3 linked regions of the Anolis sagrei genome follow. The main gene of each other region encodes a partner of the protein of the gene in region 2 in a complex. Links are inferred from orthologs where the notes say so. Each region holds a gene or a part of one and is shown on either strand. Other genes may lie near its edges. The genes, in order: EPAS1, EGLN1 and HIF1A.

Region 1 (7,019 bases), about 34 Mb from region 2:
ACTGGAATGCATATTGCCAAGAAAACAACCAAAACTATGCACTGACATGCATATTCAATGTAATGTGTGAGTACCCTCTTCTTATCTAACACTGGATGCTGCCTTCCCATCATCCACCTTCATTCTACTATAAGAAAATGATACAATCCTGTTCGGAAGTGCCCTTCCACACTTTGTTGGAGATTAAAAGTGAGGACATCCTTAAAGGACTGAATCTTCTTGCAAGGGATTATTAGTTGGGTTGTTGTAGGTTTTTTGGGCTATATGGCCACGTTCTAGAAGCATTCTCTCCTGACGTTTCGCCTGCATCTATGGCAAGCATCCTCAGAGGTTGTGAGGTCTCACAACTTCTGAGGATGCTTGCCATAGATGCAGGCGAAACGTCAGGAGAGAATGCTTCTAGAACATGGCCATATAGCTCAAAAAACCTACAACAACCCAGTGATTCCAGCCATGAAAGCCTTCGACAATACATTGATTATTAGTTGGCTTTCAGGGTTGCATTGCAGAGAGTGTCAGGGCCCTTCCACATAGCCCTATATCCCAGAATATCAAGGGAGGAAATCCCACATTATCTGAGTGTGGACTCAGATAACCCAGTTCAAAGCAGATATTGTAGGATTTTCTGCCTTGATATTCTGGGATATAAGGCTGTGTGGAAGGGCCCTGAGTCAAACAAGAAGTGGAAGTAAACTTTTTGAAAGTCCACAGGTCACCAAATATGCCACAGCAGGGACAGCACCAAGATCTGACATTTCTCACTCTATTTGAGATGTTGGAATGCAAGATCCAGTTCAAATTAAAGCAGTCCAAGTGTGCACTTACACCAGGCATGGGCCCTCCAGGTATTTTGGACTTCAACTCCCAACATTCCTAACAGCCTCAGCCCCCTTCTTTTCCCCCCTCAGCTGCTTGTGGGCCTGAGGCTGTCAGGAATGGTGGGAGTTGAAGTCCAAAAACTCCTGGAGGGCACAAGTTTGCCCAGGCCTGATCTACACCATAGAATGGATGCAGTTTGAAGCCGCTTGGTGCTATTGGAATTTGGGGGAGTTGCAGTTTGTTGAACCACCAGCCCTCTTCAGCAGAGAAGGCTAAAGAAGGCAAAAAAAAAAAGTGCCAGTGGGATTTTGTCCTGCATCAATAGGAGTAGAGTGTCTAGAAGTCATGCTACCCCTCTATTCCGCCTTGGTTAGACCACACCTGGAATATTGTGTCCAATTCTGGGCACCACAATTCAAGAGAGATATTGACAAACAGGAATGTGTCCAGAGGAGGGTGACTAAAATGATCAAGGGTCTGGAGAACAAGCCCTATGAGGAGTGGCTTAAAGAGCTGGGCATGTTTAGCCTGAAGAAGAGAAGGCTGAGAGGAGACATGATAGCCATGTATAAATATGTGAGGGGAAGTCATAGGGAGTGAACTTGTTTTCTGCTGCCCTGGAGACTAGGATGCAGAACAATGGCTTCAAACGACAAGAAAAGAGACATCAAGAAGAACTTCCTGACTGTGAGAGCTGTTCAGCAGTGGAACTCCCTCCCCCCGGAGTGTGGTAGAGGCTCCTTCTTTGGAAGCTTTTAAACAGAAGCTGGATGGCCATCTGTCGGGGGTGCCCTGAATGCAATTTTCCTGCTTCTTGGCAAGGGGTTGGACTGGATGGCCCTTGAGGTCTCTTCCAATTCTATGATTCTAGATCACGAAATATGCCACAGCAAGGACAGCACCAAGATCTGACATTTCTCACTCTATTTGAGATATTGGAATGCAAGATCCAGTTCGAGTTAAATAATTCCTAGTGTTCAGGCAGCTACACTAGGCATGGGCAAACTTGGGCCCTCTGGGTGTTTTGGACTTCAACTCCCACCATTCCTAACAGCCTCGGCCTCCTTCCTTTCCCCCTTCAGCCGCTTATGGGCCTCAGGAATGTTGGGAGTTGAAGTCCAAAAACATCTGGAAGGCACAGGTTTGCCCAGGCCTGATCTACCCTGTAGAATGGGTGCAGTTTGACGCAGCTTAGTGCTACTGGAATCTGGGGAGTTGCAGTTTATTGAACCACCACTTCTATTTGGCAGAGAAGGCTAAAGACCTTGGGGAAACACAACTGCTAGGCTCCCTTAGCATTGCGCCTTGGTAGTTCAAGGGGTGTCACACTGCATCTATTCTACTGTAGAGATGGACCCGAGCCTGGGCGCTTCAGAGAAGTGAGTGGAGCAGAACGCAGAGGGAAAGGACTTGAAGTAGAGCCAAACAAGGCACCATTGTTGGACCATTTGGGATTGGGGAAAGAGAGATCCAGCCCCACTTCAACCTCCCTGGCTCCAAAGGACTGGGAAGAGTTAGGAAAGAGATGCAAAAGGAGAGGTCCCTCCTGAATCCAACCAGCGGAAGAGCTTCCTTGCTTTCAAAGAACTGGCGCGAGAACTTTGTCCCCGCAAAGATGTCCCTGGCTCTCTTTTCCTCCTCCCTTACCTCTTCTTTTCCTTCTCGGCTGTCATCCTGGGAAGCGGGGGTTCCTGCTTGCTTGCTGGGATGCTCTCACGCTGTATCCCCGAGAGGAAGGGGCTTTCTGTCCGTCGGGATCCTTGGGGAGGAAGATGTCAGGGCGCACGAGAGAGAGAGAAAGCGCGCGCGCCAAGCTTGGAGACCACTTTGGAGAAGAGATGGGTTGCGCTCTTTGCGCGCTTGCCGTCGGGTGGGTTGCCTTTCCTGGGCTTGGCGGGGGTGGAAGAGGAAGAGGAGGAGGCCGTCGAGCCGCCCCTGAGTTGACCATACAGTCTCAGGACACTGCCGAGGATTGTACAGCCCGCTCAGGGGAGAGAGAGAGAGAGAGGGAGGAGGCAAGGGCGCCGCGGCTCCCCGCCGCCACTGCTCCTGGCTGCTTCTGCCGCTCCTCCTTTGGCGCTGGGTATATGTACGGAGGAGGAGGAGGAGGAAAGGGAGGACGGGTCGCCCTGGGAAGGCTCTGCCGACCGGCCAGGAGGACAGAGGCAGGCTGGAGCCTCAGGCGGCGCTTCTTCCAGCTGGAGAGGCCGCCGAGGGCGCTGCCTCCAAGGGGCGGGCAAAGCCCACGCCTCCGGACCCGCCTCCAGCCACTTGGCAGCACTTGTTGATCGCAAGTCAAAGCGAGGGAGGGGCCGAAGGAGGCACAGCCGGATGGGTCAGACCCCCCACTCCCGGGGGGAAAAAGGTTCAGACCTAGGGTGCCTCTACAGTAGGCAGTGGCACGGGCAAACTTCATCTCTCCAGGCGTTTTGGACTTCAACTCCCACCATTCCTAACAGCCAGCAGGGGAAACGCCAAGGGCGCCTTAGGGCCCTTCCACACAGCGCTATATACCAGAATATCAAGGCAGAAAGTCCCACATTATAGCATCATAGAATCATAGAGTTGAAAGAGACCTCATGGGCCATCTAGTCCAATCTCCTGCCAAGAAGCAGGAAAATTACATTCAAAGCACCCCCGGCAGATGGCCATCCAGCCTCTGTTTAAAAGCTTCCAAAGAAGGTTCCTCTACCACACACTCCGGAGCAGAGACCCCCACCCCCGGGGGAAAAAGGCCCGGACCTAGGGTGCCTCTACAGTAGGCAGTGGCACGGGCAAACGTCAGCCCGCCAAGTGTTTTGGACTTCCACTCCCACCATTCCTAACAACCGGCAGGGAAAATGCCAAGAACGCCTTAGACACAGTGACAAAAGGCATCTTGCAGCACTTTAGAAATTAAAAGAGGGTCATAGTGCATCAACGCTGCAGAATAAATGCAGTTTGACTTCCATTTGAGCTGATTCATGGCCACAGAATCACTGGAGTTGGAGTTTTATAGCAGCAGCAGCACCCCCCTCCCCCCCCCAAAGAGACTGACAGGGAAACACAAAGTATAGCTAAATTCAGTTGCAAATAAATCTTGCAGTGCCTTAGAGATCAACAAGTGTTTTGGTGCATCTATACAGTAGAATAAATGCAATTTTAAGTCATTTTAACTACCCTGGCTCCGTGCTAGGAATCACTGATGCTGTACAGTAGTTTTAGGAGGTCTTTAGCCTTCTCTGCCAAAAAGTCCTGTGCCTTACCAGACTACAAGTCCCATAATTCCATAGCTTTTAGCCAGGTCAGTTCAAGTGATGTCAAACTGCATTCATTCTACAGTGCAAATGCACTCTATACTGCAGGGTTTGGCACCACTTGAAGGGCCCATACCTATCACACCCTATATAGGATCCTATGATATGTTTTTTTTAAGTATTGCTATTTCACTGGTCAAGAGGGCTGGTGTCTCACTAAGGGCCCTTTCACACAGTCATATAACCCAGAATATCCAGGCAGAAAATCCCACAATATCTGCTTTGAACTAGGTTGAACTAACTACAAATTCCAGGATTTTGTAGAAGGTTTGGGAGTAAAAGTGGTGTCAAAATACAATAATTCTGCAGTGTGGATACTCAGTCAGGGTCAATGCTCTGGAAAGTTAGGCAGAGCAAAACTAGAAGAAGAAAAAATTTAAAATGAAATGAAATATTGGCAACTCCCTTCAGAATCTCCCAGGCAGTATGATCAGAGTGGGAGTTACATACAATGCTGAAGCAACTTTTCCCCGGGTCTGATAATATGAGGTGCAGGAAAGAAATTGCAAAGTACATTGAGCATTTTAAAAAGAAGTCAAGATTCTGCCACTTCAAGATTATATTGGAATAAGAAAGGGGTATTTACAATAATAAATGCAAAACTCCAGCTCAGCCACATTGCTTCCCAGATTATTTTGGATAAGTTGTGGATTTGAGGACTAGCCTTGTGGTGAGGGTTTAGCACGTTGTTGTTATATACCTTTAGGTTGTGTACCTTTAAATCTGGCTATCATTATTAAAAAAAAAACTCTAAAATCAGGACAGGAAATAAAGATCAACACTCAAAAAACAGGGGAATTCCAGACAGGAAACAATCAGGGCCAGTTTTTTTTTTGTCGTGTCAGGAGTGACTTGAGAAACTTCAAGTCGCTTCTGGTGTGAGATAATTGGCCGTCTGCAAGGACGTTGCCCAGGGGACGCCAGATGATTTGATGTTTTTATCATCCTTGTGGGAGGCTTCTCTCATGTCCCCGCATGAGGACCTGGAGTTGATAGAGGGAACTCATCCGCCTCTCCCCAGATTTGAACCTGCGACCTGTTGGTCTTCAGTCCTGCCGACACAGGGGTTTAACGCACCGCACCACCGGGGGCTCCATAGGGCCAGATAACCTCCCAACAAAGGATTACCCCAGGACATCCTGCAGTATATTTTGCTATATTTTTTTTCAATTAATATCTCATAGAATCCTAACCAATTTAACCTCCCAACAAAGGATTACCCCAGGTAGGAAGCAACCAGGCTTTGAAGCTGCCAAGCTATTCAGTGCTAATCAAAGTGGCCAATTGCAACATTCACACTTGCCTCAAACAGACAAGAGTACTTTCTCTCACCCTGGACATTCCACAGATACATAAACCCCACTTGCCTAGTTTCCAACAGACCTCACAATCTCTGAGGATGTCTACCATAGATATGGGCGAAACATCAAGAGAGAATGCTTTGGGAATATAGCTATACAGTCTGGAAAACTCACAACAACCCACTACCTTTGTTTCCAGTCTAAGGCAAACCACTCTCATAGGGTTGTCTTGGCAAGATTTGTTCAGAGAGAGTCTACCTTTCCTTTCCTCTGAGGCTGAGAGTTGTAGCCCAATGTTCAAACCACAACCCCATGCTGGCTCTCTGTTAAGTACTATATACTTCCCTTAATTCTTTGGAAAACTGAGAGAGAGATTAAAGCAGGACTAGCCTTAAGGCTGAGCTATTATTCAGAATGCCAAACTCGCTTGGCAACTTGGTGTTTTTGAGTGAGTTGCCAATAGTAAACAACGAGGGTGAAGGAAAATGTGTCCTCAGCCATAATAATTTCAGTAAGGACATGCTTTTGATTTTATATGAATCTATATTTTATATGCTACTGTTTTAAATTGTATTTTATGTTTTTGGGGGCATTGAATTGTGCTGAATATAAACAGCCTTGCATCACCTTCGGGCTAAGAAAGGCGGTATATAAATACAGCAAATAAATAAATAAATAAATCCCCAAGATTTTTCAATTAATTTTAAAGTATGTGTGTACATATCCATGGTCCAAACCTATGCCAATGAGTGCAGGTGCCTCGTTACACTTTAACTCCCAACTAAATTAGACCATTTGAATAATGTGTCAATCTTAATTACTTAATTCTTGCCTCTGAAAGCCTTTGTGGCCACATTGAGTGCAACTATACTGTAGAATTTATGCAGTTTAGCATGGCACAATGGGTTTAACCAGGCATGGGCAAACTTTGGCCCTCCAGGTGTTTTAGACTACAACTCCCAAAATTCCTAAGAGAGCAAGTAGGCTGTTAGGAATTGAAGGAGTTGAAGTCCAAAACACCTAGAGGACCAAAGTTTGTCATTGCCTGGTTAAACCCTTGTTACAGCTGGACTGCTGACCTGAAGTTTGAGTTGCTGACCTGAAGGTTGCCGGTTCAAATCTGCAAGATGGGGTGAACTCCCATCTGTCAGCTCTAGCTTGCGGAGACATAAGAGAAGCCTTCCAGCAGGATGGTAACACATCCGAGGCTCCATTGGACAACATCTGTAGATGGCCAATTCTCTCACACCAGAAGCAACTTGCAGTATGTTCTCAAGTTGCTTCTGATTAGATAAAAAAGCATCATTCTAACTCAGGTGGTTCAATTCTATGGAATCCTAGTTTGGTGAGGCACCAAAGAAAGTTAAAGGCCTTTTAAAATTAAAGTTCCCATAATTCCCTAGCATAGAGCCATTGTAGTTGAAGTGGTGTTAGATTGCATTAATTCTTCAGTGTGGTCGAGAGACTAGTGTTCAAAACCCCACTTGACCACAGGAATCCATAGAAACCCTATAATTTTAGGGTTGCTGGAAGTCAGAAATGACTTGATGCCATACAACAACAAGCCCAAATCCTATTTTTTTTAAAAAAAATCTACAAAAAT
Region 2 (7,126 bases):
ATGATTATACCCAGGGATCAGTTAAGAACTGATGGAGTTGAAGTCCAAAACACTTGGAGGGCCCAAGTTTGCCCATGTCTGGTGGAATGATGGGAGGAGGAGGAGTGATCATACCAAGAGGTCAATAAAGCCCGAGAGCATCCCTGCCGGCTCTGCATGAAAAGGTGCCCTTAGGGCAGTGGTTCTCAACCTGTGGTCCCCAGATGCTTTAGCCTTCCACTCCTAGAAATCCTAACAGCTGGTAAACCAGCTGGGATTTCTGAGAGTTGTAGGCCAAAACACCTGGGGACCCACAGGTTGAGAACCACTGCCTTTGAGGACAGTGGTGAAGAAATTATACTGTTTAGCCCAGTGGTTCTCAACCTGTGGGTCCCCAAGTGTTTTGGCCCACAACTCCCAGAAATCCCAGCTGGTTTACTAGCTGTGAGGATATCTGAGAGTTAAAAGCCAAAACATCTGGGGACCCACTGGTTGAGAACCACTGGTTTAGCTGGTATTGCACCACCTGACGTCCGCCAGGAAGTAGCATCCAATAATGAAAGGACCAAAGCAGTGGCATCTTCAGCCCATCCCTTGTTCAAATATCAGCCGGCACGCCAACGCCTTAAATCAAGAAATAGTTTTCTAAGATCTACAGCAGTGGTTCTCAACCTGCAATCTCCAGATGTTTGTGGACTACAACTCCCAGAAATCCCAACAGCTGGTAAACTGGCTGGGATTTCTGGGAGTTGTAGTCCACAAACATCTGGAGATTGCAGGTTGAGAACCACTGATCTACAGAGATACTCACTGGAACACCTCAGCAAGTGAGAGTCCGAAAGTGGCAGGCTAAAACCCAGAACCTCAATCAGTGGCTGATACCAAATGAGAGACTCCCACCCCCCCCACCCCACCCCCGCACACAGAAGACTGGCCGGCTTGGAAGGCGCTGAACAGACTTTGCTCTGGGACCACGAGATACAGAAGCAACCTTAAGAAATAGGGCTACAACATGTAAGTGCGGAGGAGAGCAAACCACAGACCACCTATTACAATGCAGCCTGAACCCTGCCATATGCTCAATGGAGGACCTTCTAAGAGCAACACCAGAGGCACTCCAAGTGGCCAGATTCCGGTCAAAGGGCATTGAGCATAATGCCAAGTTTATTAAACTTTGCGTTTTTTTAAATATATGACAACTTCCCACTCTGTTTTTATTTTTCCATCATTTTAAGTTGTGCTTGCTTACTGTATACTTGTTATTGTTTGCATCTTATTTGATGTTATTAATTGTTGTATTTCACTTTGCTGTACTGGGCTTGGCCTCATGTTAGCCACCTTGAGTCCTCTCTGGGGAGATGGTGGAGGGGTATAAATAAAGTTTATTATTATTAATGTCTTGTCGAAGGCTTTCATGGCCGGAATCACTGGGTTGTTGTAGGTTTTTTTGGGCTATATGGCCATGTTCTAGAGGCATTCTCTCCTGACCTTTGCCTGCATCTATGGCAAGCATCTTGAGGATGCTTGCCATAGATGCAGGCAAAACGTCAAGTGAGAATGCCTCTAGAACATGGCCATATAGCTCGAAAAAACCTACAACAACCCATTTATTATTATTATTATTATTATTATTACTGTACCATTGGTTAGCTTCTGGTGAGACAAATATCTAAATAGGGGAGAGAGGGAGGGCGACTCACTTTCGTCCTGCCATTGATCTTGTAGTTGCCCAGTTTGCCATTGCAGTGCCGGATGAGATCGTCCATGCTGTTCATGAGCTTCCCGATGGCCTTGCAGCCGGGCTCCTTGCCTTCCACCCAGGTGATCTTGTCTCCGCGGATGTCCCGGGAGGAGTCGCTCTTCTGGCTGACCAGCTGCCCGTCGGTGAAGCGGCCCGTGTGGTGCAAGGCGCGCACCTCCTGCTCGATGCGCCCGCCCAGCTCGGGCCCCAGGAACTCGTCCACCACGCAGATGCCGTGCTTGTTCATGCAGGGCACGATGTACTCCAGCGCCAGCCGCTGGGGCACCTGCGACTTCATCTGCCCGTTGCGCCGCAGCGACGCCTCGCCCGTCAAGTTGGACTTGTCCCGGTAGAGGAGGCCCGCCTCCCGGGCCGGCGGGGGAGCCGCTGCTGCTGCTGCTGCTGCGGCCGCCACCTCCTCCTCCTTGTCCTCTTTCTCCTCTTCCTCTTCCTCAGGCGCCGCTTTGGCAACGTGGTTGTTGGTGGCCGCAGCGTCCCCTTCGCCGTTTGGGGGAGGAAGAGGAGGGGGAAGGGGAGGCGGAGGAGGCTTGGCTGCCTTCTTGGCCTCCTCGGCGGCGTGGGGGCGGCTGTTGGTGTGCCCGTGCGGCGGCGCCTCCCCTCCTCCTCCTCCTCCCCGGCAGATGAGCTTGTGCTTCTTCCAGTCCTGGCGCTGGTGCTCCTTGCTGCAGTAGAAGGAGCTGCGGCACCGCCCGCACCGCAGCAGGTTCTCCATCTTCCCGCACAGCTCGCAGTACTGCCGGTCCCGCTCGCTGGTACTACTGCTGCTGCTGGCGGTGCAGCTGTTGGGCCCGTGGCCGTTGTTGCCGTTGCTGCAGCTTCCCCCGCCGCCGCCTTGGCCGCCACTCCCACCGCTGTCATTGGCCATGCTGCCGCGCGCGCCCCACGCCTCGGCTTCCTCCTCCGCGGCGGCCTTCTCCTCCTCCTCCTCCTCCTCCTCCTCCTCCGGAAGGCCAAGCGCCGAGCGGCGGGCTCACTTCATCATCATGGCCGTCGTGCTCTTCCCACACCCCCCAAGCGGCGCTCCGTCAGCGCGGCCTCCTCGCCCGCGCCTCAGTCCTCCTGCCGCCGCCACCGCCACCGCTTCATCATGGCCGGAGGAAGGGAGGGGAGCGCCTCATCTCCCGCCGAGAGGCCTCCTTCACTCTCTCTCTCTCCCTCCTTCCCTTCCTTCCTTCTCCTCCCCTCAAGCCTCCTCTGGTCGCTCCGTCGACGTCCTCCGCCTCCTTCGTGGCCGGCGCGAGCCACCGTCCCTCCTCTCGCTCTCCTCTCGCGCGCCGAGGGGGCGGAGCTTGCGCCGCCACTCTCCAGCTCCGCGCTGCACGTACGCCACTTCCAGTCAGCACGCCTTCCTTCCCTCCTACGCGAGGGGAGGGCTCTGCGCATGCGCATGCGCGTCCCCGCACCTTCACGGAAGCCAGGAAGGAGGGTGTTTGCGCGAGGCCTCTCTGCGCCCGAAGGTGGGCGGGGTCGGGATCAGGGATCGGAATGGCCGTTGCTCGACGCACGCGGTGCCTGCCTTTAGGAGAGGGAGGGAGGGAGGGAGGGGGGAAAGAGGAGGGACACCGCTTTGTCTCGTCACAGCGCGAGCGGCGCCTTCAGAGATGCCGCCTTCAGAGAAGGCACTGGCACAACACTACCTACCCACGTGGCCCATTGTTTTCAGGGGGTTTTTGTTGCAGAGGGGTCCCCTGGGTTGTATAAGCGGTGCGGTTTGGGAGCTGTGCTTTCACCAGGTCTTCAGCCTGCTCTGCCCAACGTACGGGCAATGGCCAGGACTCCAGCTCAGGAGTCCCCTAAACCTCGCCAAACTCCACCCTCCTGGAGTCCACAGCATTGAGCCGCAGGGCAGTTAAAGGAAGGCCAAAATGTATTCATTCTGCGGTAATGTCAGAAGCGAGTTGAGGGTTGTTCATTCGTTCAGTCGCTTCCAACTCTTCGTGACCTACAGCTCCCTGTAGGTTGTCACCACCCCCAGCTCCTTCAGAGTCAAGCCAGTCACTTCAAGGATACCATCCATCCACCTTGCCTTTCAGGCCGTAGCCAAGATTTTGATTGGGGGGGGGGGGGGGGCTCAGGATCTACCTTAGCAAACCTTTTGTATCATTGTCCCAATATCCCCATGCATATGTTTACTCATATCATGGTGATCAGATCATGATATGAGTAAACATAACAGTTTAAATAATGTACCAGTAAGGCCTTCTCGCAGACCACCCTGAGAATTTCGGGGGGGGGGGGGTAAGCCCCTCAAGCCCCCCCCCCCCCCCCCCCCCGCTACGGGCCTGTTGCCTTTGGTCAGCCCCTCTTCCTTTTTCCTTCCATTTTCCCCAGCATCATTGTCTTCTCTAAGCTTTCCTGTCTTCTCATGATGTGGCTAAAATACTTCATCTTGGCCTCTACTATCCTTCCCTCCAATGAGCAGTCGGGCTTTATTTCCTGAAGTATGGACTGGTTGGATCTTCTCGCAGTCCAGGGCACTCTCAGAACTTTCCTCCAGCACCACAGTTCAAAAGCATCTATCTTCCTTCGCTCAGCCTTCCCTATAGTCCAGCTTTCACATCCGTAGGGGACTATGGGGAATACCATTGCTTTAATTATGCAGATCTTTGTTGCCAGTGTGATGTCTCTACTCTTCACTATTTTATCAAGATTGGTTATTGCTCTCTTCCTAAGAAGTAAGCGTCTCCTGATTTCCTGCAGTTGAGGGCACAGTTTATTTATTACAAACTGTACCCACTACGCATTGCTATGGCCAGCCTCTCCTTCCTCTCTTCCTCTCTCTCCTTCCCTCCGTTTCAGTCTTTCCTTTTCTCCTTCCTTCCTTCTCTTCCTCATCCCTTCCTTCCCCCCTTTTTCTTTCCTTTCCCTTTTTTCCCCTTCTTTGCCTATTCTTGGACTGCAACTCCCAGTATTCCTCCTGATCAATCTACCTATCTATCTGGAGGACTGCTGGGAATTTGCAGTCCAGGAATAGGAAACTGGAAGTATCCAGGGATTCGGATGCTCTCAAATCCAAGGAGAAGAAAGCTTGCAGCTTGGAAGCAGTGCATTTGGATCATCCCCCTCTCCTAAAGGGCCTGGTCTAGGGGATGCTGGGAGCTGTAGTCTGGAAGATAGTGTGGATATTCTATTGTGTTTTTTTTTGCCGGGGGAGTCGTTTTTGTGCATGCACTGTAGCATCTTTTTTTTCTTTTTCTTTTTGGCTTTCTAAGTCCCTTCTGTTGTGTTTTTCAGTGTTTTTATGAGTGATGATCACTCATTGGCCTGATAGGTGTATTGTGTTCAAATTTGGTGTCAATTCATCCAGTGGTTTTTGAGTAATGTTAATCCCACAAATGAACATTACATTTTTATTTATATAGATTGATTTATTTATTTATCAGACTTATATACCACCTTTCTCGGCCCGGAGGCAACTCAAGGCGGTTCACAGTCGGCAACAATTCGATGCCTCAACAATTATAAATACAATTAAAACAATTATAAAATACAATTAAAATATTTAGCAATATAAAAACTGCACAAAGCCAAAAGCATAATCATAATATGTTAAAATGCATTTTAAAAAACACACTTTTTTAAAAAAAACTTGGCATTCTTCTAAATTTCCTTTGTTCAGAAGCTGGCCACTTGGAGTGCCTCTGGTGTCGCTTTGAGAAGGTCCTCCATTGTGCTTATGGCAGGGCTTCATGTTGCTTTGTAGCATTGCAGCAGGTGGTCAGTGGTTTGTTCTCCTCCACACTTGCATGTTGTGGACTCCACTTTGCAGCCCCATTTCTTAAGGTTAGCTCTGCATCTCATGATGCCAGAGTGTAGCCTGTTCAGGTCACCCAATCTTCTTTGTGCCCAGGAGGGAGTCTCCTGTCCGGTCTCAGTTACTGATTAAGGTGGTGGGTTTTAACCTGCCACTTTTGCGTTCTTGCTTGCTGAGGTGTTCCTGCAAGTACCTCTCTCAATCTTAGGAAGCTGTTTCTTGATTTAAGCTGTTGCCATGCTGGCTGATATCCAAACAGATGATGGGCCAGAGATGTCACTGCCTCGGTTCTTTCATTGTTGGCTGCTACTTCCTGACGGATGCCAGTTAGTGCAATACTAACTAAAAGTATCCCCCGGTGATGCAATGGCTTAAACCCTTGTGCCGGGACTGAAGACTGACAGGGGAGAGCACGGATGACCACTCTGTTAGCTCTGGCTCCCCATGCAGGGACATGAGAGAAGCCTCCCACAAGGATGGTAAAACATCAAAACATCTGGGCGTCCCCTGGGCAACGTCCTTTCAGACGGCTAATTCTCCCACACCAGAAGTGGCTTGCAGTTTCTCAAGCTGCTCCTAACACGAAAAAAACCCACAAAAAACCCAGCTAAATTGCATAATTTCTCCAGTGGTGTGGGGCAGAGACCTCCTGTGATAACTTGGCATGTCTCATTAAGAGCCATAGCCACTGTTTTAACATGGTGCGATGTATCCCACACGGCACTATGGATGCACCTTTGCCATGGAATTAGGCATAGACTACACTGCTGCACAGGGGAGCAGACTGAGTCTAGGTGGGCAACAAAATCAAACCAGTTCCAAAGTGGTCTGATGCAGGTTTCTATCTTCTAAGGGTCATTGAGGACCATAATTGCATGAAAGAGGTGGTATGGGATCCTTCATATTAGAGAACATTCAGTATCCTAACTGAGGTACAGTTTCCTTGTTTTCTCAAGTTGCTCGTGACACACACAAAAAAAATCTATGTTGGGGTCATAAATCTGACAGTAACCTAGTGACAGCTTTATAGCCGTTTACACAAATCTGTTGTGCAGTGTTTACAGTGGACTCTGCAGAGGATGCTTATGCTATACTTCATAAAAAGAAAGACCAGCCTGTTTCGTAAAGCCGATTTGGTATCAATAGATGTTTGATTTTTAAACCTATTTTAAGTAAGCATTGGAAATGATTATCAGTAAAGACTTTATTTTTATACCACCCATGTTATAATTTCTCAAGTAGAAAGAATTTATTACATGCTAAAGTAGTTTTCCTCATGATGCAGCTTTTCAGTCCTTGTCATTAAATGGACACATGACATTACATACACACACACCTTACAGTAAGACCTCCATATCAGCAGGGGAAAGGATCCCTGCTAGACCATGATTGCCTGAAACCGCATGTATTACCTCAGCATTGTGTAATAACATGCTTTCTGGTCCTGGTCTACCCTAGAATTGTATTGGAGAACTGCAGCTATTTATAAATGGCATGCAATATGTCACAAATGTGCACTCACAACTATATTGTAGAACTTTGTGGACACTTAGGGAAGTTGGTGCCTCTGAATTTACTAAAATCTACTTCTGAGTGAGTAGCATCTCAAGGGCTTGTGTCACCCATGCATT
Region 3 (7,940 bases), about 270 Mb from region 2:
CAGTCACTTCCTGAGACCACTGTGACTCACACCAATGACTGATCAAGACCAAACTTGGCATACAGAGTCCTCATGATCCATCCTATATCCTGGTGCCATTTGGAGGAGGAAGGACCACAGACGATGGGACTTACATATGGGAGTTGGAGTTTACCTATACCCACTGAAGCCAACTGACATTGGATCCAGACTCCAACTGGAGTGCAGACAAACAATGCCTATCTCAAATAGCCTGGGCATCACTGGGTCCCCAAGCTAGTAAATAAATAAAAGGCCAAACATGCTGAAAGTTTTGGTTTTACATTTTTTTGATCAGTTCATTTATGTTCACAATGTTGGTCATGAATAGGAAATAACTATGCATATAATTAGAGAAAAAAATTGATGGGTTAACTTTACCTTTTCACTTCAAATGTTTAAAAGCAATGCTTTTGGATGAAACATGCAGAATAATCACAGGATGTCTTCAACCTACACCTGTTGATAAACTCTACAAAAGCTAGCTGGCATTGCCCCTCCTGATTTTATTTATTTATCGTGTCATCCGCAACCAGAACATTGTATTACATTTCTAACAGAACAAAACAAACAAACAGATAAAAAAACCCCACAAATTTTGCAAACTTGGTAGCTGATTAAATGTCCTTTGACCAGTATCTGGCCACTTGGAGTGCCTCTGGTGTTGCCGCAAGAAGGTCCTCCATCGTGCATGTGGCAGGGCTCAAGTTGCATTGCAGCAGGTGGTCAGTGGTTTGCTCTTCTCCACACTCGCATGTCGTGGATTCAACTTTGAGGCCCATTTCTTAAGATGGCTCTGCATCTCGTGGTGTCAGAGTGCAGTCTGTTCAGCGCCTTCCAAGTCGCCCAGTCTTCTGTGTGCCCAGGGGGGAGTCTCTCATCTGGTATCACCCACGGATTGAGGTGTTGGGTTTGAGCCTGCCACTTTTGAACTCTCGCTTGCTGAGGTGTTCCAGCGAGTGTCTCTGTAGATCTAAGAAAAGTATTTCTTGATTTAGGTTGTTGACATACTGGCTGATACCCAAACAAGGGATGAGCTGGAGATGTCTCTGCTTGGTCCTTTCACTATTGGCTGCTACTTCCCAGCGGATGTCAGGTGGTGCAATACCGGCTAAGCAGTGTAATTTCTCCAGTGGTGTAGGACGCAGACACCCTGTGATAATGCGGCATGTCTCATTAAGAGCCACATCCACTGTTTTAGTGTGGTGAGATGTGTTCCACACTGGGCATGCGTACTCAGCAGCAGAGTAGCACAGCGCAAGGGCAGATGTCTTCACTGTATCTGGTTGTGATCCCCAGGTTGTGCCAGTCAGCTTTCGTATGATATTGTTTCTAGCACCCACTTTTTGTTTGATGTTCAGGCAGTGCTTCTTGTAGGTCAGAGAACGGTCCAGAGTGACTCCCAGGTATTTGGGTGCGCTGCAATGCTCCAGTGGGATTCCTTCCCAGGTAATCCTCAGAGCTCGGGATGCCCCTCCTGATGTGTGATGGGAAGTTGCTGCTAAATGTGAGAGAAATAAGGTTGAACACTGTCCACTGTGTCCTGCCTCATGTACAGAGGAGGAATTGTTGGAGGCTACAGACAATGCCGTTGCTGTTGCTCGTTTTTGGTGAAAAGATATTTAGCCGCCTGTACGCCTTCTATTTTTTATCAGTTTTATACTAATTTATGCAATGATTTCGATACGAAATAAAATATAACCTTTTTGCTTTAAGCAGATTGGCTATTGTATTGCCTTCAACTGCCAGTTTTCTCCTGTTCTTATATTCTATGTTTATTGTATGTAAACTGCCCTGTTAAACTTTACTTTAAGATGGAATTAAATAAACAAAACCTTATCACTTAGGAGCCGTGTAATGCATATAAGGAAGTGGCAGAACCTTACGTCTAGAGGCTTTTCTGCTATGATACAAATACCTCTCTGGAATACAACAAAATATAACATCCTCAAAAGATTATTAGACAATCAAAATAAAGACAACACATCAAGCAAGCTTTTGAAGCTTCACCATCTTCCTGATAGTATAGGCATGGGCAAACTTTGGTCCTCCTGATGTTTTGGACTTTTACTCCCACAATTCCTAACATCTTAGTTTGCCCATGCATGTGATAATAGATGCATGATGGCTAGCTTACACTCTGCATGTACTCAGAGGCATTCTTGGTGCTTCATGCGGGACCAAAATAAACCCCGAGACTCAAGGCCTCCTCAGGAACTCTTGGCAAATAATGGGATGTCTTATTGATATCATCATTATTATAACACACACATATCCAGCAGACTCTCAGTTAACGAGGAATCAAGCAACTGGAGCTTTTAAGCAACCAGCAAACCCCCCCAGCAGGTATAATATGCATTTTAAAAAGTCCTGCCAAGATCCCAAGTCCAGGGTGAAACTGAGCACAATGTAGACGCCCACTCCAGCCTCAAAGACAGGCTTCCTTGACCTCCACTTATGGATGCTGCAGTTTCCAGTCAGCTTGCAACTGCATTAAATAATAAGCGTAGATGCCATTCAATACAATTTCTCAGTACTAGGCTGTTAGGAATTGTGGGAATTGAAGTGCAAAACATCTGGAGGGCCAAATGTTGCCCATGTCTGCACTAGAGCATCTATCCACTTTAAATCTGATTGCTGCCTCCTGCAGGATTTTGGAGTTTGTAGTTTAGGGAGGCCTGGGATCTCTTTATCTGAGCAGTTTAAAGGGTTACCCCCAAACTACAAACACCAGAATTCTGCAGAAGGCAGCAACCAGATTTAAAATTGATTGATTCTCCAACTCCCACAATTCCTAACAACCTACCTCTATGTATGATGAAGTCCATACAAAAGACAAGAGGAGGAGAAGAGGAAAAGAAGGGAAAGAGGAAGAGGAGGTGAAGGAGAAGAAGATGGTGGTGGTGGTGAGGAGGAGGAGCATGGAAGAAGAGGAGAAGGAAGAGAAAGGATTAAGATGAGGAGGGAGGAAGAAGAGAAGGAGGAAGGAAAAGAAAGAAGAGGAGGTGAAGTTGAGAGATCAAGGTGAAAAAGAAGAGAAGATGGGGGAAGAAGAAGAGGTGGAATGGAGGGAGTAGACAGGAACAGAAAGCAAAAAGGAGAGAAAAGGAAGGGAAAAAAGAAGAGAAGGAAAAGAGAAAATCAGAATTGAAGAGACGTGAGAAGAAAAGTTGAAGAAGAGGAGGAGCAGGGAAGAAGAAGAGAAAGTGAAGTAAGAGTAGAGGAGGACGGAGAAGAAGAGGAGACAGGAAAAAGAAGCAAGGAAAGATAAAGAAACAAGTCGACCATGTGCTCTGTTTTAAACTGTTTATTTTAAATGTATTTATATGTTACTGTTTTGATTATAATCTACTATGTATTTTATTTGTTTTTATGTGGCATTGAATGATTGGCAATTGGAAGCGGCTCTGAGTCCCCTTCGGGGTTGAGATAGAGCGAGGTAAAAAGTACAGTAAATAAATAAGGAGGGGAAGAAGAAGACGAGAAAAATAGAAGAAAGAGAAGAGGAGGAAGAAAAGGAGGAGAAAACTAAAAGGCGGAGGGGAAAGGAAGGGGAAAAAGAAGAGAAGAAAAAGAGGAAAATCAGAAGAAAAGGAGGGTGGAAGAGGATTAGTGGGCAGAAAAGGTGAAGAAGAGGGGAAGCAGGGAAGAAGAAGAGGAGAAAGAAAAGTAGAAGAGGATGGGGAAAAGAAGAGAAGGAAAGAGGATGAATGGAAGAGAAGAAAAGGACAGAAACAAGAGGAGAAAGTGAAAAAGAGGAGGAGAGATGGGGTGAAGAAAAAGAGAAACAGAAGAAAGTGAAAAGGGGGAGAAAAGGAGAAAAAAACAAAAAAGAGAAAAGGAAAGGAAAAAATGAAGAAAAAGAGGAAAATCAAAAAAAAGAGAAAGGGGAAAGGAGAAGAAGAGGAAAAGCAGGGAAGAAGAAAAGGAGAAAGAAGTATCAGGAGAAGAAGAGGATGGGGAAGAGAGGAAGGAAAGGAGAAAACGAAAAGGAGAAGAGAAAAAAGGGAAAAGAAGGGAAGGAAAATAGAATGAGAAGAGAGGAGGGTAGAAGAAGGGAGGAAGAGATAGAGAAGTAGGAGAAGGGGATGGAGAGAGAGTAAGGAAAGGAGAAAACAAAAAAGGAGAAAAGAAGAAAAGAAGGGAAAAGAAGCGAAGGAAAAGAGAGGAATGAGAAGAGAGGAGGGAAGAAGAAGGGAAGAAGAGAAAGAGAAGTAGGAGGAGAAGGGGGTGGGGAGAGAGGAAGGAAAGGAGAAAACGAAAAGGAGAAGAGAAGAAAGGAAGGGAAAAGAAGAGAAGGAAGAGAACGAGAAGAGAGGAGGGAAGAAGAAGAGAAAGAGAAGTAGGAGGAGGAGAAGAGGAATGAGTAATAAGAAGAGAAAACGAAAAAAAGAAAAAAGGGAAGAAGGGAAGAAGAAAAGAAAAGTAGTAGAAGAAGAGGATGAGAAAGAGGGGAAGGAAAGGAGAAAACGAAAAGGAGAAGAGAAGAAAGGAAGGGAAAAGAAAAGAAGGAAAATGGAGAATGAGAAGAGAGGAGGGAAGAAGAAAAAGATAAGGAGAAGTAGGGGGAAGAAGAGGATGGGGAAAAGAAGAAGAAAAGGAGAAAATGAAAAGGAGAAGAGAAGAAAGGGAAAAGAAGAGGAGGAAAAGAGGAGGGAAGAAGAAGAGAAAGAGGAGGAGAAAAAGAAGGAGAAAAGGAGAAAAGGAGGAGGAGGAGGATAAAGAGGAGGCCGCCTTCCCTTCCTGCCTTCTGCGCGCGCAACCGGCGGGGGGAGGGAGACACTCACGTGAGGCAGGCGGGCGGGGCCACGCCCCCTCCGGGCGGCGGTCCTCGCGCCGCCTCCCGATTGGCCGAGGCGGAGCTCGTGACGGGCCAGCCGGGAATAGGCCCCGCCCCCTCCCCTCCCCTCCTCCTCCTCCTCCTCAGACCGCGCTGAGAGAGAGTGAAGAGAGCCTCGCGGTGGCTGCCTTCCCTGCTTCGGCCTCCCTTTTCTGTGTCCCTCGGCCTTCCTCTCCGGCCAAGCTGGCTTCCTCGGCTTCTTCGTCCTCCGCCGACGACGGCGACGAGGCCGCCATGGAGCCCGGAGCCACCCCGGGAGGCTCCAGCGAGAAGAAAAGGTACGAAGGAGGAGAAAGATTAGGAGGCAGGCCTTGCTCTTCTCCTTCCTGTAGGAATGAATGCCTGGGGAGGAGAGAGATGGAGAGAATGGTGGAACTTCCTTCCTCTCTGTTATTGCTCCTTCTGAACTTTCTGTTTTCCTTCCTTTCTCCTTCCTTCCCTTTGTTGTTGATGATGGAGGAGAGGAGGAAGACTTCTCTTCCATTATTCCCAATTTTTCTTTCTTTCTTTGCTTTCTTTCTTCCACCTTCCTTCCTTCCCTTCATTCTCCATTCAGGCCTCTTCTAGACATCTGTAGTCCTTACCTTCATTCTCCATTCTTCTAGACATCTGTACACAATCCACATTATCTCCTTTGAACTGGATTATCTGGCAGTGTGGACCAGGCATGGGCCAACTTGGGCCCTCCAGGTGTTTTGGACTTCAACTCCCACAATTCCCAACAGCCTGTTGGGAATTGTGGGAGTTGAAGTCCAAAACACCTGGAGGGCCCAAGTTGGCCCATGCCTGGTCTACACTGCCAGATAATCCAGAATATCTGCTTTGAACTGGGTTATCTGAGCCCACACTGCCATATTTATTATTTATTTATATATTATATATTTACAACACTTATATGCCACCCTTCTCATCCCAAAGGAGACTCAGAGTGGTTTACAATACACACACACATACACAATATATTATATTATTAGCATAGTGCAAAATCAGTATTATATATTACTGTATTGTGCTATACCACTATATTGTAATACTACATGTAATACAGGGTTAGTCAAAATGAATAGGCCAATAAACACACATATACACACACATATACAATATATTATATTATTAGCATAGTACAAAATCAGTATTATATATTACTACGTCGTGCTATACCACTATATTGTAATATTACATGTAATACAAAATATGTAATTATAATATCCTATTATTATTAGTATTTATTTATTTTCAGCATTTCTACCCCCATTCCTTCTCAACCCCTGAAATGGCTAGAAGGATACTACTATATTGTAATACTATTACTAATATTAGTAATATTACATGTAATATAAAATATATAAATTATAATATCATATTATTGGTAGTAATATTGTATTATTTATTTATTTATTTATTTCCAGCATTTCTACCCCGTCCTTCTCAACCCCTGATATTAGCATAGTACAGTATCAGTATTATATATTACTATCTCATGCTATACCATTATGTTGCAATATTATTAGTAATATTACATGTAATATAAAATATGTAATTATAATATCATATTATTAGTAGTAGTATTGTTTTATTTATTTATTTCCAGCATTTCTACCCCCGTTCCTTCTCAATCCCTGAAGGGGGACTCAGGATGGCTTACAAGATATATATATGTGTGTGTGTGTGTATGGGTATATATATATACACACACACACACACACACATATATATATATATAATATTATTAGCATAATACAAAATCAGTATTATATATTACTATATTGTGCTATACCACTATATTGTAATATTATTAGTAATATTACATGTAATATAAAATATATAATTATTATATCCTATTATTCGTTGTATTATATTGTATTATTTATTTATTTCCAGCATTTCTACTTCTCAACCCCTGATATTAGCATAGTATAGTATCAGTATTATATATTGCAATATCGTGCTATACCATCATGTTGCAATATTATTAGTAATATTACATGTAATATGAAATATATAATTATTATATCCTATTATTAGTAGTAGTATTATATTGTAGTATTTATTTATTTCCAGCATTTCTATCCTGTCCTTCTCAACCCATGAAGGGGGACTCAGGATGGCTTACATTTGGCAACAATTTGATGCCATTAAATACAACAAAGCAATATAACAACAATAAAAACAGTATTAACCACCGTATCACCATTCCAGCCAAATTCCATATCCAAAGCGCTATTTATGTCTGCTGTCCAAAAACCTGGTCCCAGAACCACGACTCAATTTCTTCCTAAAAGACAGGAGGGATGAGGCCTGTCTTACCTCGTTGGGAAGCGAGTTCCACAGCTGGGGGGGGGGGGGGGGCTACAGCCGAGAAGGCCCTGTCTCTCGTCCCCGCCAGACGTATTTGCGACGCTGGCGGGAGCGAGAGCAGGGTCTCCCCGGATGATCTTAAATTGCAAGACAGGACGTATTATATTATTAGCATAGCACAGGAGACAAGGTGGACTTGTCTTCTGGTCCCTCTCTCTTCACTCTGGTCCAGAGCAGCAGTTGGTGCTGGGGGGAGGGGTCCCCAACTGATGACATATGCAGTAGACAAGATGGAACTGTCCCCTGCCCCCCTTTCACTCTGGCCCAGAGCATCAGTTGGTATATTCCAGTTCAAAGCAGAAAATGTGGAATTTTATTCAGGGCCTTTCTAGACAGGCCCTATATCCCGGGATCTGATCCCAGGTTTTCTGCTTTGAAGTGGATTATATGAGTCCGCACTGCCTCAAAAATCTGGAATAAACAGAAAACTTGGGATCAGATCCTGGGATATAGGGGCCTGTCTGGAAGGGTCCTCAGGTAATCAGTTCAAAGCAGGTCATGTTGGGTTATCTGCCTCGATATTCTGGATTATATGGCAGTGTAAAAAGGCCTTCACAATCCCAAATCAGATCTGAGCCTTTATTCCCCAGGTTCAAGTGATAACCCCCATTTCCCCCCACCAAATCCAGTTTCTTCCTTCAAAGGGCCCTTCCACACAGCCCTATATCCCAGAATATCAAGGCAGAAAATCCCACAATATCTGCTTTGAGCTCAGTTGTCTGAG

What was found.
Region 1: the proteins of EGLN1 (region 2) and EPAS1 are in contact, whole or in part, in a crystal structure (PDB 7Q5X), measured with the Homo sapiens proteins. The link is inferred for Anolis sagrei from reciprocal best matches to the Homo sapiens genes EGLN1 and EPAS1. Residues at the interface, in NP_071334.1 of Homo sapiens: Gln239, Leu240, Val241, Ser242, Lys244, Ile251, Arg252, Trp258, Asp277, Ile280, Arg281, Ile292, Asn293, Gly294, Arg295, Thr296, Lys297, Tyr310, Val311, Arg312, His313, Val314, Asp315, Pro317, Asn318, Asp320, Arg322, Arg370, Trp389, Tyr390; in NP_001421.2 of Homo sapiens: Asp525, Leu526, Glu527, Thr528, Leu529, Ala530, Pro531, Tyr532, Ile533, Pro534, Met535, Asp536, Gly537, Glu538, Asp539, Phe540, Gln541, Leu542.
Region 3: the proteins of EGLN1 (region 2) and HIF1A are in contact, whole or in part, in a crystal structure (PDB 3HQR), measured with the Homo sapiens proteins. The link is inferred for Anolis sagrei from reciprocal best matches to the Homo sapiens genes EGLN1 and HIF1A. Residues at the interface, in NP_071334.1 of Homo sapiens: Gln239, Leu240, Val241, Ser242, Gln243, Lys244, Ile251, Arg252, Trp258, Lys262, Asp277, Ile280, Arg281, Ile292, Asn293, Gly294, Arg295, Thr296, Lys297, Tyr310, Val311, Arg312, His313, Val314, Asp315, Pro317, Asn318, Asp320, Arg322, Arg370; in NP_001521.1 of Homo sapiens: Leu559, Glu560, Met561, Leu562, Ala563, Pro564, Tyr565, Ile566, Pro567, Met568, Asp570, Asp571, Phe572, Gln573, Leu574.

Annotation. Positions count from the first base shown.
Region 1 is NC_090021.1:26,973,246-26,980,264, forward strand, and holds the start of EPAS1 (endothelial PAS domain-containing protein 1), read right to left. Parts: upstream 3,016-7,019; 5' UTR 2,493-3,015; coding exon 2,467-2,492; intron 1-2,466.
Region 2 is NC_090021.1:60,811,717-60,818,842, reverse strand, and holds the start of EGLN1 (egl nine homolog 1), read right to left. Parts: upstream 3,088-7,126; 5' UTR 2,607-3,087; coding exon 1,680-2,606; intron 1-1,679. UniProt on the Homo sapiens protein: Cellular oxygen sensor that catalyzes, under normoxic conditions, the post-translational formation of 4-hydroxyproline in hypoxia-inducible factor (HIF) alpha proteins.
Region 3 is NC_090021.1:332,082,715-332,090,654, reverse strand, and holds the start of HIF1A (hypoxia-inducible factor 1-alpha), read left to right. Parts: upstream 1-4,929; 5' UTR 4,930-5,092; coding exon 5,093-5,136; intron 5,137-7,940.